Linked DNA regions of Drosophila melanogaster. The protein of the gene in region 1 interacts with the protein of each later gene in a biochemical or structural test. Each region holds a gene or a part of one and is shown in the gene's direction. Other genes may lie near its edges.

Region 1 (6,182 bases):
CACGGAAATCGGCTCCATTCCGGCTGGCCTTCTGCATGATTTCTGTGAACTTGCTGCTCAGCCCGCAATTTTGTGATAGCTTTAACTTTGCGTTTTCCGGGGCGTCCGATTCGTTTGTGGATTCGCTTGTTCGGTGGGGGCGCTTTTTTGCCTTCTTCTGCTTCTTGTGGACATGCCTGTCCTTCTCGGTCTTGCCAGTCGAGGATTTTTTATGTTTTTTGTGCTTTTTAGCCTTTTTGTGCTTGGCCCGACGCTCTTCGGTCTCGCTGTTGTTGCTGGAGTCGTAGCTATTCGGTACAAGAGGGGAGCAGCCCAGGTCAATACACACACGTGCGGTCGGCTTAGTAAAATTAACCTACCTTTTGTCGTCAGCCATTATTTGATTGTTTAACAATGTAAACTGCAGATGCGCGCACACTGTGCGTTCATAAGGTGTGCGGTAATTCTGCAGATGGCTAATGAAACTTGTAATTTTCCTCTTATTGTATTCTTCCTCTTCGTAGCTTTTTTAGTGTGACTGCACGCCGGACAAAAGTAAATACGTTTTAAAAATACCTCCTGGGATTTCGGAATTATTTCTAGTATATATGCAAGTAAAATAAAAATATATTAAAATTAAATTTTATAACCCTTAAATATCGTCTTTGGCGCAAGTCTAAATTGGAAATAAAAACGAAGGAATTTCGAAACAACAGTTGAATTTGTATATTATAGTTCATGACATTTTATTTTTTTGTTTTTATTGTACATGCTAGCGCTTCTAACCTAATTGGCAACAGCTACATCCACGTCGTGCTCATCTTTGTCGATGCTTAGCTCAAGCACCGTGTCCTCTTCTACGGACATGGCTTTAGAGTCCTCAGTAGAGACTGAGTGATATTTGGGCTCGCCGCGGGCTCCGTCGAACTTTGTGGGAGTGCTATTGTTGAGATCGTCGTCTTCATCGCTTACCTCCATGATCCCATTGTCGTCTAGGTCCGGCTCAGAGCGGGCATCGCAATCGCTGGACGAGGAGGATGCCGAGGATGAGCTGTCCTGGTCCAGCTGCTGTTCCAGCTCGTGAATCGTGTACATCAGCAAAGTGAAGTCATTGCGTCGTTTCTGAAACTTGCGCTCCATCTTTAGCTTCTTTTGCACCAAGTCGTCAATCTCCCTCCTAATGGTCTCAATATGTCGCTGTGTTTCACTGCGGTCCGGTTGGTCCTGGATGAGCGAGGCCAGCAGGTCGTACTCCATCTTGTTCTTGCGAATCTGCTTGGCAGTGATTAGCTCTTTTTTACTGGATTCGATTTCCGCTTTAGCCAAAACAATACTTTCTTCGTGGTGTTCAACTAGTTGTGTGTAGTTGTCACGCTCACCGGCGATCATCTGCAGAGTTTGTACATTCTTTAACGCAGTGAGCTTGCACTGGGCGAATTGGGCCATCAGTCGGTCGTACATGATGGGACTGTAATTCGGAAAAGAGGAGATATGTACACCATGTTTTGAATACACACATATCCAATTTCTTACTTGCTGTCCAGCGAGTCACTGGCCCACTTCAAGAACTGTTTCAGCAACACTACTATTCTCCGATCCTCTCCAGTTCCATCCCCGTCAATCAGCAGGCGCTGCTTTATGATTTCTTCTGGAAGATCAGTTTAAATATCTATTCCCAAATGCGAAAATAAACAAAAACAACTTACCGTCATTCATCTCCACTAATTTCCGAACTAGCGTATCGGAGTGTGGCCGAAGCTGACACTGCTCCGACATACCACGCAGTACGGTCCTACTGTACTTGTCCTATCATTTTAATTTGGAGAAAGTATTGAATTATGCCTTACCCTTTATATCCCGCCCATAGCCAAGTGTAGTGCCGTACACTTTCGGACATCAGCGAATCCCATTAACTAAGTGCACTTCTTGCAGAATGTCGGAAACGTCAAGCGTCAACGTGGATGCGGACCGAGATTGCAGAAGGATTGAGGGCCTCCGACAGCGCTCACAACGCCTTGCTGCCCGCCTCCAGCAGATGCAGAGGGAAATGGAGTCTAATGCATCCAGCAAAGACCTATCGGCCAACAATGCCGTTATTCCGCTGCAGCCACTAATGCGCTGGGCGGAACCACGGCCACATCCCAACCAATCCCAACCATCTGCTCGGAGCAACAGCAGGCAGGCCATTCCTTACGGTGTGCCAGTATCCACGCCAGCGCCGGTAGCTATGCAATTGCCCTACCACGTAGCATTCGCCTCCTACCAGGCGACCATGCAGATTCCCTGCCTTCAGCCACTTTCGCATTTGCACGTCGTGTCTAGTCCCAGCCATCGGTTAATAGCGAAAAAGAAGTCGAAGCGGGCTCTTCGAAATGAGGTGGAAGCTCTTCAGGATATGGTCAAACATCTTTCACACCTCTCCCCAGATGTTAACGCGTATGCCTGCCAGCTGATACGTAAAAACGAGATCCTTTCTCAGCTCGAGTGGAGTCAGACCAGGTCAGAAGCACATCCGCAACAGGTTGGTTACCAGGGGCGGCATCGCCACGATTCTGAGGTCTCTGCTACAAACAATGGAAGTCATGTACAGCAGCAACCGAAACTAGGACGAAGGCAACGCAATAGCAAGAAAAACGATGGATCCGGTAGCAATGGGACCCAATCGCAAAAAACCGAACTAGAGGCCATGCGGTCGTACATAAACAAGATTGTCCAACGTCACGTGGGTATGGATCACCAGTTGTCGGAAGACTTGATTTTCAAAGGTAACTTCTCCGACCTGGAAGCGCATGCGCAGAGACTAGTTGCGGCGGGTTATGGGCGCATTGTAGAAGAGGAAATCCGGGTTAACCGCAAGAACAACAGACAGGCCTTTATAATCATGTCCACTGATCGAGAAGCACTCGAACGAGATGGCATCGTGCTCTTGCCAGTGGCTAGGCGCTATGCCTTCGATGGTGACAAAGTACGTGCATTCGTGCTAAACCCTGGTGCTCAGGGTAGTTCAAAGACAGCTGAGCCCTCGTCTGGTGAAATCTCTGGTGGGAAGCCCTCATTATCTCTTGGTAAGTTTATCGGCAAACTTATAATACTTTCGACTGATGATAATATCCTATAAAGCGGATGGTGAGGAGCTTTCGGACGATACCGAGTCCCAGGGCTCTGAGTCCGATACCGACAACGTGGTCGTGATATCGTCGGACAACTGCCCTAAAGCGTTCGTCATAGCAATAACTAAACGAACTGAGCTCCGCCAGATCGTGGGAACCATATCGTTTACGAACCCAACCAAACTCTGTGACGACCAGCTATTCTACAAATTCCGACCGTACGATTTGCGTGTCCCCATGGTCTACGTTCCGAAGGATGCCTGTGCCGCCCACATCGGAAACAAGCAGCAAATAGACGTGTCCGGCCTCTTATACCTTGCCCATATACTCGAGACAGATTGCAATGGGCACTGCATCGCTGAACTAATCCAGCCGGTTGGCCGCGTGGGTAATTTGGATGACGAACTTAAGGCAATTCTGTTTCATAACGGTCTCCGGGATATAAAGCCATTTGAGCAACGATTTATCGACATTTACTCCCAGCCGCCACCTCCGATAAGCCAAGAGGATCTGCGTCAACGAAAAGACTTAAGAAAGATGTGCATATTTACTATAGATCCGATGACTGCTCGCGATTTGGATGACGCCGTTTCTATAGAGAAGCTAGGCGACAACGAATATGAGATTGGCGTCCATATATCCGATGTTTCGCACTTCCTGATAGAGGACAATGAACTGGATAACATAGTGAAGGAACGCTCTACGTCTATTTATTTAGCCAACGAGGTAATCCACATGCTGCCTCAGTCTCTATGCATGCGATGTTCCCTGCTCCCTGGGCAAGACAAGTTTGCTTTTTCCGTCTTCTGGCGGATGAACGGGAAGGGAGTCATGCTGCAAAAGAAGCCAGAATTTTGCCGCACAGTCATTAACTCTTGCTCGCAATTTGCTTATGAACACGCTCAAAAGATCATCGACAACCCTAATGAACGGTTTACCGAGAACGACTTTCCGACCATCCTGAATGGATTTAATCCCGATGATATCAGAAATAGGGTGCTATGGCTGCACGACATTGCAAGCTCCATCCGTAAGACACGTTTAGACAATGGCGCACTCACAATTAACAATGCCAAGCTACGCTTCCTGCTCGATCCAATTACTGGCGAGCCGTTGTCTTTTGAAGTGGAGAAACAGCGAGAGGCTAACCGGCTGATTGAAGAGTTTATGCTCCTGGCCAACCAGGCAGTCGCCCGCTTTATACACGACTCCTTTCCGGATATCGCTGTACTGCGTAACCACCCTCCGCCACTTATTAAGTCCCTTAAGGCTTTAAGGGAAAAGCTGCTTGCTCTGGGATTCGAATTGGACTATAGCTCGTCTAAGGCGCTCCAGGAGAGCATGGTGCGGTTGTGCAATGAGGCGCCCAATCCTGTCGCAATGAATGCCTGCCTAAGTCAGCTTTTGATGAAACCAATGGCCCGTGCAACGTGAGTGTCTCAGTTTTCAAATAATTACTCTTCCCACAATTTCCCCCCTTTAGATATTTTTGTAGCGAGGGTAAATCGGAACCGGCTGACCTGTGGCACTACGCCTTGTCCATACCCATATACACTCACTTTACTAGCCCAATCCGTCGGTATCCTGATATTTTGGTGCACCGGTAACTGTCACTTACCTTGGAAGTTCGCCTCCCGTACTTAAAATTTCCTCCACTCTAGACTTTTGGCGGCCGCACTTAAATATTGTACACCGCCTAAACGTACCCCAGATGATTTGCACACCTTAACGAAATTAGCGAATGAGCGCAAGTACAATGCGAAAAAGGCCGGAGAGGACTCTGGTAACTTGTACTTCAAACGATATGTTCACAACAAGCAGGGCATATACATGCGAGCTGTGGTCATTGAAATATTTCAGCATATGATGAACGTAGTTACTCTGGAGTCGGGCCACGTTATAAGCATTAACTACAAAATGCAAAAGGTCCTCGTAGACACACACGGCGTACCCAATTACATTCTTATTGCCGAGCGCAACTTAAAGCAGTCACCTAGGAAGTTGCAGCTGCTTTCCGTGGTCCCCATATGTCTGATCATTTGGGACCAAAAACTAACTGGATTTTTAAAGATGGAAGAACAAATTTAGGAAAAAAAGGAGCAGACGAGCAGATGTAATTCTTCGCATAGGAACAACCCAAAGCAACTGCACCGTATTTTTTCAATAAGCCAAAAAAGTTTATAACTACACACAGAGGGAACATCAATTTTGTTTAAGAGATTCCTTCTGTTTCAGTGTCGTTAAATGAAAAATCAAAAAAATCGAAAAATACTTGTTAGTCCAAACTCACTTTTTTGAACCACATTGTGGGTCCGAGCTTTATGCTTGACAAAAATTGACTCTGTGATGCTTCCTTTTTCGGTTTGCATATCATAATAAGCTTGTAAAAATGTATGTACATATGTGCTATGTAAAATCAAGGCTTAACTGCTTATCAATAAAACAATCAAGTTAACCGAAAATGATTTGGATCATGCTGACAAATGTTAATCGAAAATAAAGGTCAATTGGGGTCATTGGCGATAATGTTAACGGCGAAAGTTTAAAGCATGAGGTTTTTTAAATTAAATTTGCATTGACGCAGAAGTATCGTCTGAAATGTCTAGATTCGGAATATTTGTTAGGCTGTCCAGGTCGTATAATCACCGATTGCAGCTGACGATTTTTTTAAGGCATTTTCCTGCTGTTAGTTGGACTTATTCAAAGCCACCCTCATCCGATAATATAAGAAAACTACAGTCTAGGCTCCAATGCACGCAATCCTGCCTAACCACCCCTGAGTACAATCCCGTCTGGAGTAGTGATATGGTGAGCTACGACAATAAAAGCAAATTGAACTGCGCAATCAAGTGCGGGTTAAGTAAGTACACACACAATATCTGCACAAGTCTCCAGATCGGATCGTTCTAAAACTACATCCACTTGTATCGTTGTAAAACTACATCCATGTCTAATCTAAACCGGCCCGGACGAGTACGCTAGTTATCCTGATTTGGAATATATGTATATATACAAGCCGTAAAGAAAGCACTTGCCTTACTTTTAGTAAGTTAAATTTGGAGCTGCACATATGTATTCTCCTGAACATGTAAG
Region 2 (5,275 bases), on another chromosome or scaffold:
TCTGGAACTCAGTCAGATCCACGTTAAGGGCACCATCGAATCGCAGAGAGGCGGTAATCGAGGACACGATCTGGCCAATCAGACGGTTCAGGTTGGTGTACGTGGGGCGCTCAATGTCCAGATTGCGGCGGCAGATGTCGTAGATAGCCTCGTTGTCGACCATGAAGGCGCAGTCGGAATGCTCCAGGGTGGTGTGGGTGGTCAGGATGGAGTTGTAGGGCTCGACCACGGCAGTGGACACCTGGGGGGCTGGGTAGATGGCGAACTCCAGCTTGGACTTCTTGCCGTAGTCCACGGAGAGACGCTCCATCAGCAGCGAGGTGAAGCCGGAGCCGGTACCTCCACCGAACGAGTGGAAGATGAGGAAGCCCTGCAGACCGGTGCACTGATCGGCCAGCTTGCGGATCCTGTCCAGAACCAGATCGACGATCTCCTTGCCGATGGTGTAGTGGCCACGGGCGTAGTTGTTGGCCGCATCCTCCTTACCAGTGATCAGCTGCTCGGGGTGGAACAGCTGACGGTAGGTTCCGGTACGGACCTCATCGACCACAGTGGGTTCCAGATCCACAAACACGGCGCGGGGCACGTGCTTGCCAGCTCCAGTCTCGCTGAAGAAGGTGTTGAACGAGTCATCACCTCCGCCCACGGTCTTGTCAGACGGCATCTGGCCATCGGGCTGGATGCCGTGCTCCAAGCAGTAGAGCTCCCAGCAGGCGTTTCCAATCTGGACACCAGCCTGACCAACATGGATAGAGATACATTCACGCTGTGGATGAGGAGGAAGGGAAAACGGATGATTAGTTACACACCCCAAGAAAATCGATAATTGCAGAGCCGCGCCCAACTTGAGCCGGCACTGCGTGCGAGTGAGAGAGGTAGCTAAATGGTATACTGATTTTTTTGCTCTACTTTGCCGACGCCGGAATTTTACTCTCTCGCCATTTTCTCTTTAATTCTATCCAAAATCTACAGTTATGCGTCGAAGTATCATGGTAACCGAATTTAGAATTTTTAAGATTAATGAAGCGTTCCAGCAGCATAGAAATAATGAATATTTTTTTTATCTAGATTTTAAGAGCCATTCCTCATTGCGAACAAAAAAAAAAAACAGGCATGACGTCATCACTTTTGAGGAAAAAACGCAGGCCGGCCGCCATTTTGAGAAAAAGCCGCATCGCGTTTTTGCCCATTGAATTTTGCCCACACAAATTTCTTTTCAGCATTATTTCACTAGATTTTTTTTTAAAGTACTCACCATATTGAGTTTTTATTGGAAGTGTTTCACACGCGACAAGGAAAATTCACAGAATTGTGTAGAGCTACGATTTCGAGGTCTGACTCAGAGAGCGTATACGTTCGAACTGCCGGCTATGAGGCTTGACAAACGTAAAACGAATATGAAATGTGGAAAGCGGGCTGCTTTATATAGGCACCGGAGCTAGAGACGGCAAGCTGTCGACTTAAACGCCGCATAACCGATAACTGAAGTGGGAGAGGTAATGGCACTTGGTCTCTCTAAAACTTGCTGCGGTATTTTGCAGGACTAGTTGGGACTCGAACCAGGGCGTGAATCTTTGCTTGCCCAACCGGTAGACCTAACCGGTTGCTAAAGTGGGCCAACATTAATAATATTTTTGTTGAATGTTTCATAAAAGCTATTTTAATATAAATTCGCATCGTTACCGATTCAATAAGGTTTAGTAAATCATTATATTTCTGACTCCATATTGATTTCCAACAGCAAATTAATTAACTCCATAACTTCCCCTCTCCCTTTGGAGCAAAGGATGTAGTTAATATCTTAACATCTAAACTTGTTTTGTTTTTTTATTCAAATAGGAGTTATATTAAATAGAAATGTAAAAAACAAAGCAGGTTTTAAGAAAATGATGTCAGGAGATTTTGAACTCCTACTCATGGTCACTCTAATCGCAGTCTGCAATTTACGTGTTTCCAACTTAACGCCCCCAAGTTAATAGCCGTAATCATTTGAAAAGAAAGGCACGCACGCACAACGCCATGCGGATCGAACCTGGGGACTCCTTTTGGACGAAAAAGGCGATGTTTTCCAACGCAGAAAGGCAGTACTTTGAGACGGTCCGTCCGCGGAAGACCAGTGTGAGTAAAAGTTGACCGTCGATGGCGATTTCACAAGTGACGTTTAAGTGGCGGGAACTTCTACTCACAAATCCCTGAGCCCTGTGATATGATTTATTTTATGGAGCCGTGATCCGGACGAAAAATGCACACACATTTCTACAAAAATATGTACATCGCGGTGCGATTGTGTCGCTTAAAGCACACGTACACCCACTGTCACACTCACACTCACATGCATACACCGCCGGCGAACTTTGGTGTAGTTGGCCACCCTACGAAATTCAACCGCTTCGATTCGAATTTTCGAATCAACAGTTATTGGCAGTCGAACAAAGGCGGCAAACTTTCGAGTTGCAGAAAAGTTAACGCATTCGATTAACCTTTCAGCTTCCGGGCTCCACCGCGCCCAACATAGCCGCTCCGGTAACAAAGGCCACGAAGAAGAATAAGACGATGGCCGAGATGATGCCAAACAAACTGCTTTACGTGAGTACGAGTTTGTATCATTCGAATTTTTAGACTAAAGCCCGCTGATCGTGCAGATGAATCCGCTTACCATGGAGGCACACTTCTTTCTGCAGACCCTAAACTCAGTGAACCAGACGACGAATCCGCCGCAGCTAGACCCGCACCTGGCCAACCTGCTGGAGCGCATTATGGTGGGCATCGAGAGCTACTTGGACAGGAATCCCACATACGTTTTGCCGCAGGAGATGGCCGCACCGGGTGAGGGCGTGGCCTTCGTCCAGCCCCAGGAGCTGCAGACAATAAAGCGAACATTCAGCTGTAGTTCCTGCAGCAACCGCATAGTGGGCACCACCATCGCAAAAGCTGTGGCCCACCTTTCGGAGCAGCATCCAAAACCCAATCCCAACAATCAGCCAGTCCAGCCGCATCCGACGCATCAGACGAAACAGGAGAAAAAGCAGGCCCAGGTGAAGGCTCGTCAGCATATAACAGTACGGCTACCCAAGAGTAGGTCACCATTTCATTTCATTTACTTACGCAGAAGTGCAGTCTAAAAATTGTGGTCTGACTACTTGTAAATGTTAGATTGATAAAGCCTCAATACTTTGATTAATATGTTTTCTTTAGAGCCAGCGATATTTTATAAATACTTTTTACATTGCAGAGGCCAGGGCAATGATTGTGGGAGAGATTACGAATGTGTTTAAGGACAAATACCCAATAGCGGACAAGTTAAAGGTGATTCCCGAGTACGACGTTATCGAACAGGACCTGTGCAAGCTTTTGTCGCCGGGCTTTCCCAAACAACCACTGCGAGTCTACAAGTTCGGGTCCCGCATCACAGGCATTGGAAATCGATCCTCGGACCTGGACCTCTTCGTCGACATCGGTAAGTCGGGTTAGTACTGCATTGAGCTCCTACCAATTTCACCTGGCTTCTGAATTGGCAGGCAACACATTTCACACGTTCGAGCATCGAGCTTCCAACGCTACCGTCGCCAAGCTGCGGGCTATGAGGAAGTTCTTCTGCGACAGCGAGGACTGGCGTCTTATTAATGTGAGCTGTGTCCCTAAGCAATACGTTCGTTTTTACCATTGCACTTTCTTCAACAGTTCATCGAACAGGCTCGCGTGCCCATCATCAAGACGTGCCACTTACCAACCGGTATCGAGTGCGACATTTGTCTGAACAGCATGGGCTTTTGCAATACAAATCTGCTCAAATACATATTTGAGTCACAGCCACTGAGTAAGCACATGCTGCCGGATAGAGTCCATGTTATCTTTTTGCATTCGCTCCCTTGCAGCTCAATATATGTGCATATATGTAAAGAACTGGCTGGAGCGCTGCAAGCTAACTGAACAAATATCGACGTACAGCATTACACTGATGGTGATTTACTTCCTGCAGCTCCAGGCCCTGCTGCCCCCCATTGCCATGCTGCAGATAGAGGATGCAGCCAATCAGGCCGTGCTCGTGGGTCGTAAGTACATCGTCGGTTTCTTGGGGGGATTCACCAAGTAAGTCGTCTCTTTACAGCGTGGGTTGTCAACTTTGCACAAAAATCGTTTAGCGAACTGGGACTGCAGCAATTAAAGGCGACCGTCCCCGTCATCAAGGGCTTCCTTCGAAACTTCTTTGCGTATTTCGCCAAATTTGACTACGAGCATTTCTTGGTCTGCCCATATATAGGTCAGGCTAATGTTGAAATCGCGAAGATTGAGAGGATGCTGCATGCTAGGTGAGAATATTAATTGCTTAACTTTAAGCCCTTTAAATATGTAATGCTATATAGAAATTACAAAAAAAAAAAAAAAAAAAAAAAAAACTTTCCCTGCTACTAGGTATTCAGCATATGTGTCGGACAACCCTGAATGCTCGATCCAGCTGAAAAAACCGATGGTGGTACAGGATCCCATACAACTAAACCACAATGTAACGAAAGCGGTGACCAAATATGGACTGCAGACGTTCGTTGACTACTGCCAGCAGACGGCGGAGCTGCTTGAGGAACCTTCCACCAATTGGCGTCAGCGCTATGCATTTTAAAGAAATCCCCCTCGATTATCTGTCCCTGCATCCAATCTCAAGGCACTTCCGTTTATGGTCTGTTAGGCTTCTACCTTGTGAGCGCGACACCAATGTAGGTTTGTTCAGACTGTTAATTAAAGGCGATTGTCACGTTTCGGCAATATATTTCACTAACAAGCTTTTAAATTGTATAATTGGTTTGGTATCATTTGCATTAACACATAAAGTGACCTCGTATGGCACGCACAGACACGGACTACATCTGCCAGGACTCGGGCAGCCGGTTGAACACCTTCAGCAGCATATATATTGTGAAGCCCACGATTAGGAACAGCCCCAGGAAGCTGATGCGGTTCAGCCAGTGCTGCTTGGAGTCGCGCATCAGGTTGTAAATGCTCATGGCCGAGCTCTCCGCCTCCTCCACGCTCCCGTTATTGTCAATGACGAAGTGAGACTTCTCGCACTTCTTGTCCAGCGGCATTTGTGAATCGACGCGATGCCGGGCTTCCGATTCCGAGAGCTCATTGCGGGCTATTAATCGCTCCAGCTGCTTGTCCGAGTCGCTGCAATATGGGGGGATGCAGTTAAAGCCAGCTACACTTTGACACCTAGCATTCAAGAGCTATTAACCTACCAGGTTACACAGACGATCTTGTGTATAAAGTCCATCAGCAC

The links.
Region 2: of the proteins of Dis3l2 (region 1) and Tailor, one has a biochemical effect on the other in vitro, tested with the Drosophila melanogaster proteins (one study listed by BioGRID).

Annotation. Positions count from the first base shown.
Region 1 is NT_037436.4:210,933-217,114, forward strand, and holds Dis3l2 (Dis3 like 3'-5' exoribonuclease 2), read left to right. Parts: upstream 1-1,776; 5' UTR 1,777-1,817; coding exon 1,818-1,852; exon of another isoform or gene 1,853-1,911; coding exon 1,912-3,044; intron 3,045-3,099; coding exon 3,100-4,519; intron 4,520-4,572; coding exon 4,573-4,692; intron 4,693-4,750; coding exon 4,751-5,177; 3' UTR 5,178-5,547; downstream 5,548-6,182. Other genes in the region: Prp4k (Pre-mRNA processing factor 4 kinase), read right to left, coding at 1-287, 360-376; thoc7, read right to left, coding at 766-1,447, 1,513-1,627, 1,686-1,755.
Region 2 is NT_033777.3:7,082,725-7,087,999, reverse strand, and holds Tailor (tailor), read left to right. Parts: upstream 1-1,916; 5' UTR 1,917-2,019; coding exon 2,020-2,118; exon of another isoform or gene 2,119-2,340; intron 2,341-2,436; exon of another isoform or gene 2,437-2,487; coding exon 2,488-2,586; intron 2,587-2,642; coding exon 2,643-3,075; intron 3,076-3,232; coding exon 3,233-3,466; intron 3,467-3,518; coding exon 3,519-3,625; intron 3,626-3,681; coding exon 3,682-3,817; intron 3,818-3,875; coding exon 3,876-4,052; intron 4,053-4,108; coding exon 4,109-4,310; intron 4,311-4,413; coding exon 4,414-4,618; 3' UTR 4,619-4,775; downstream 4,776-5,275. Other genes in the region: alphaTub84B (alpha-Tubulin at 84B), read right to left, coding at 1-766, 1,256-1,258; Dpck (Dephospho-CoA kinase), read right to left, coding at 4,857-5,163, 5,235-5,275. UniProt on the Drosophila melanogaster protein: Uridylyltransferase which mediates terminal uridylation of miRNAs, leading to their degradation. Has high specificity for splicing-derived miRNAs (mirtrons) and other miRNA substrates containing a 3'-G terminal nucleotide.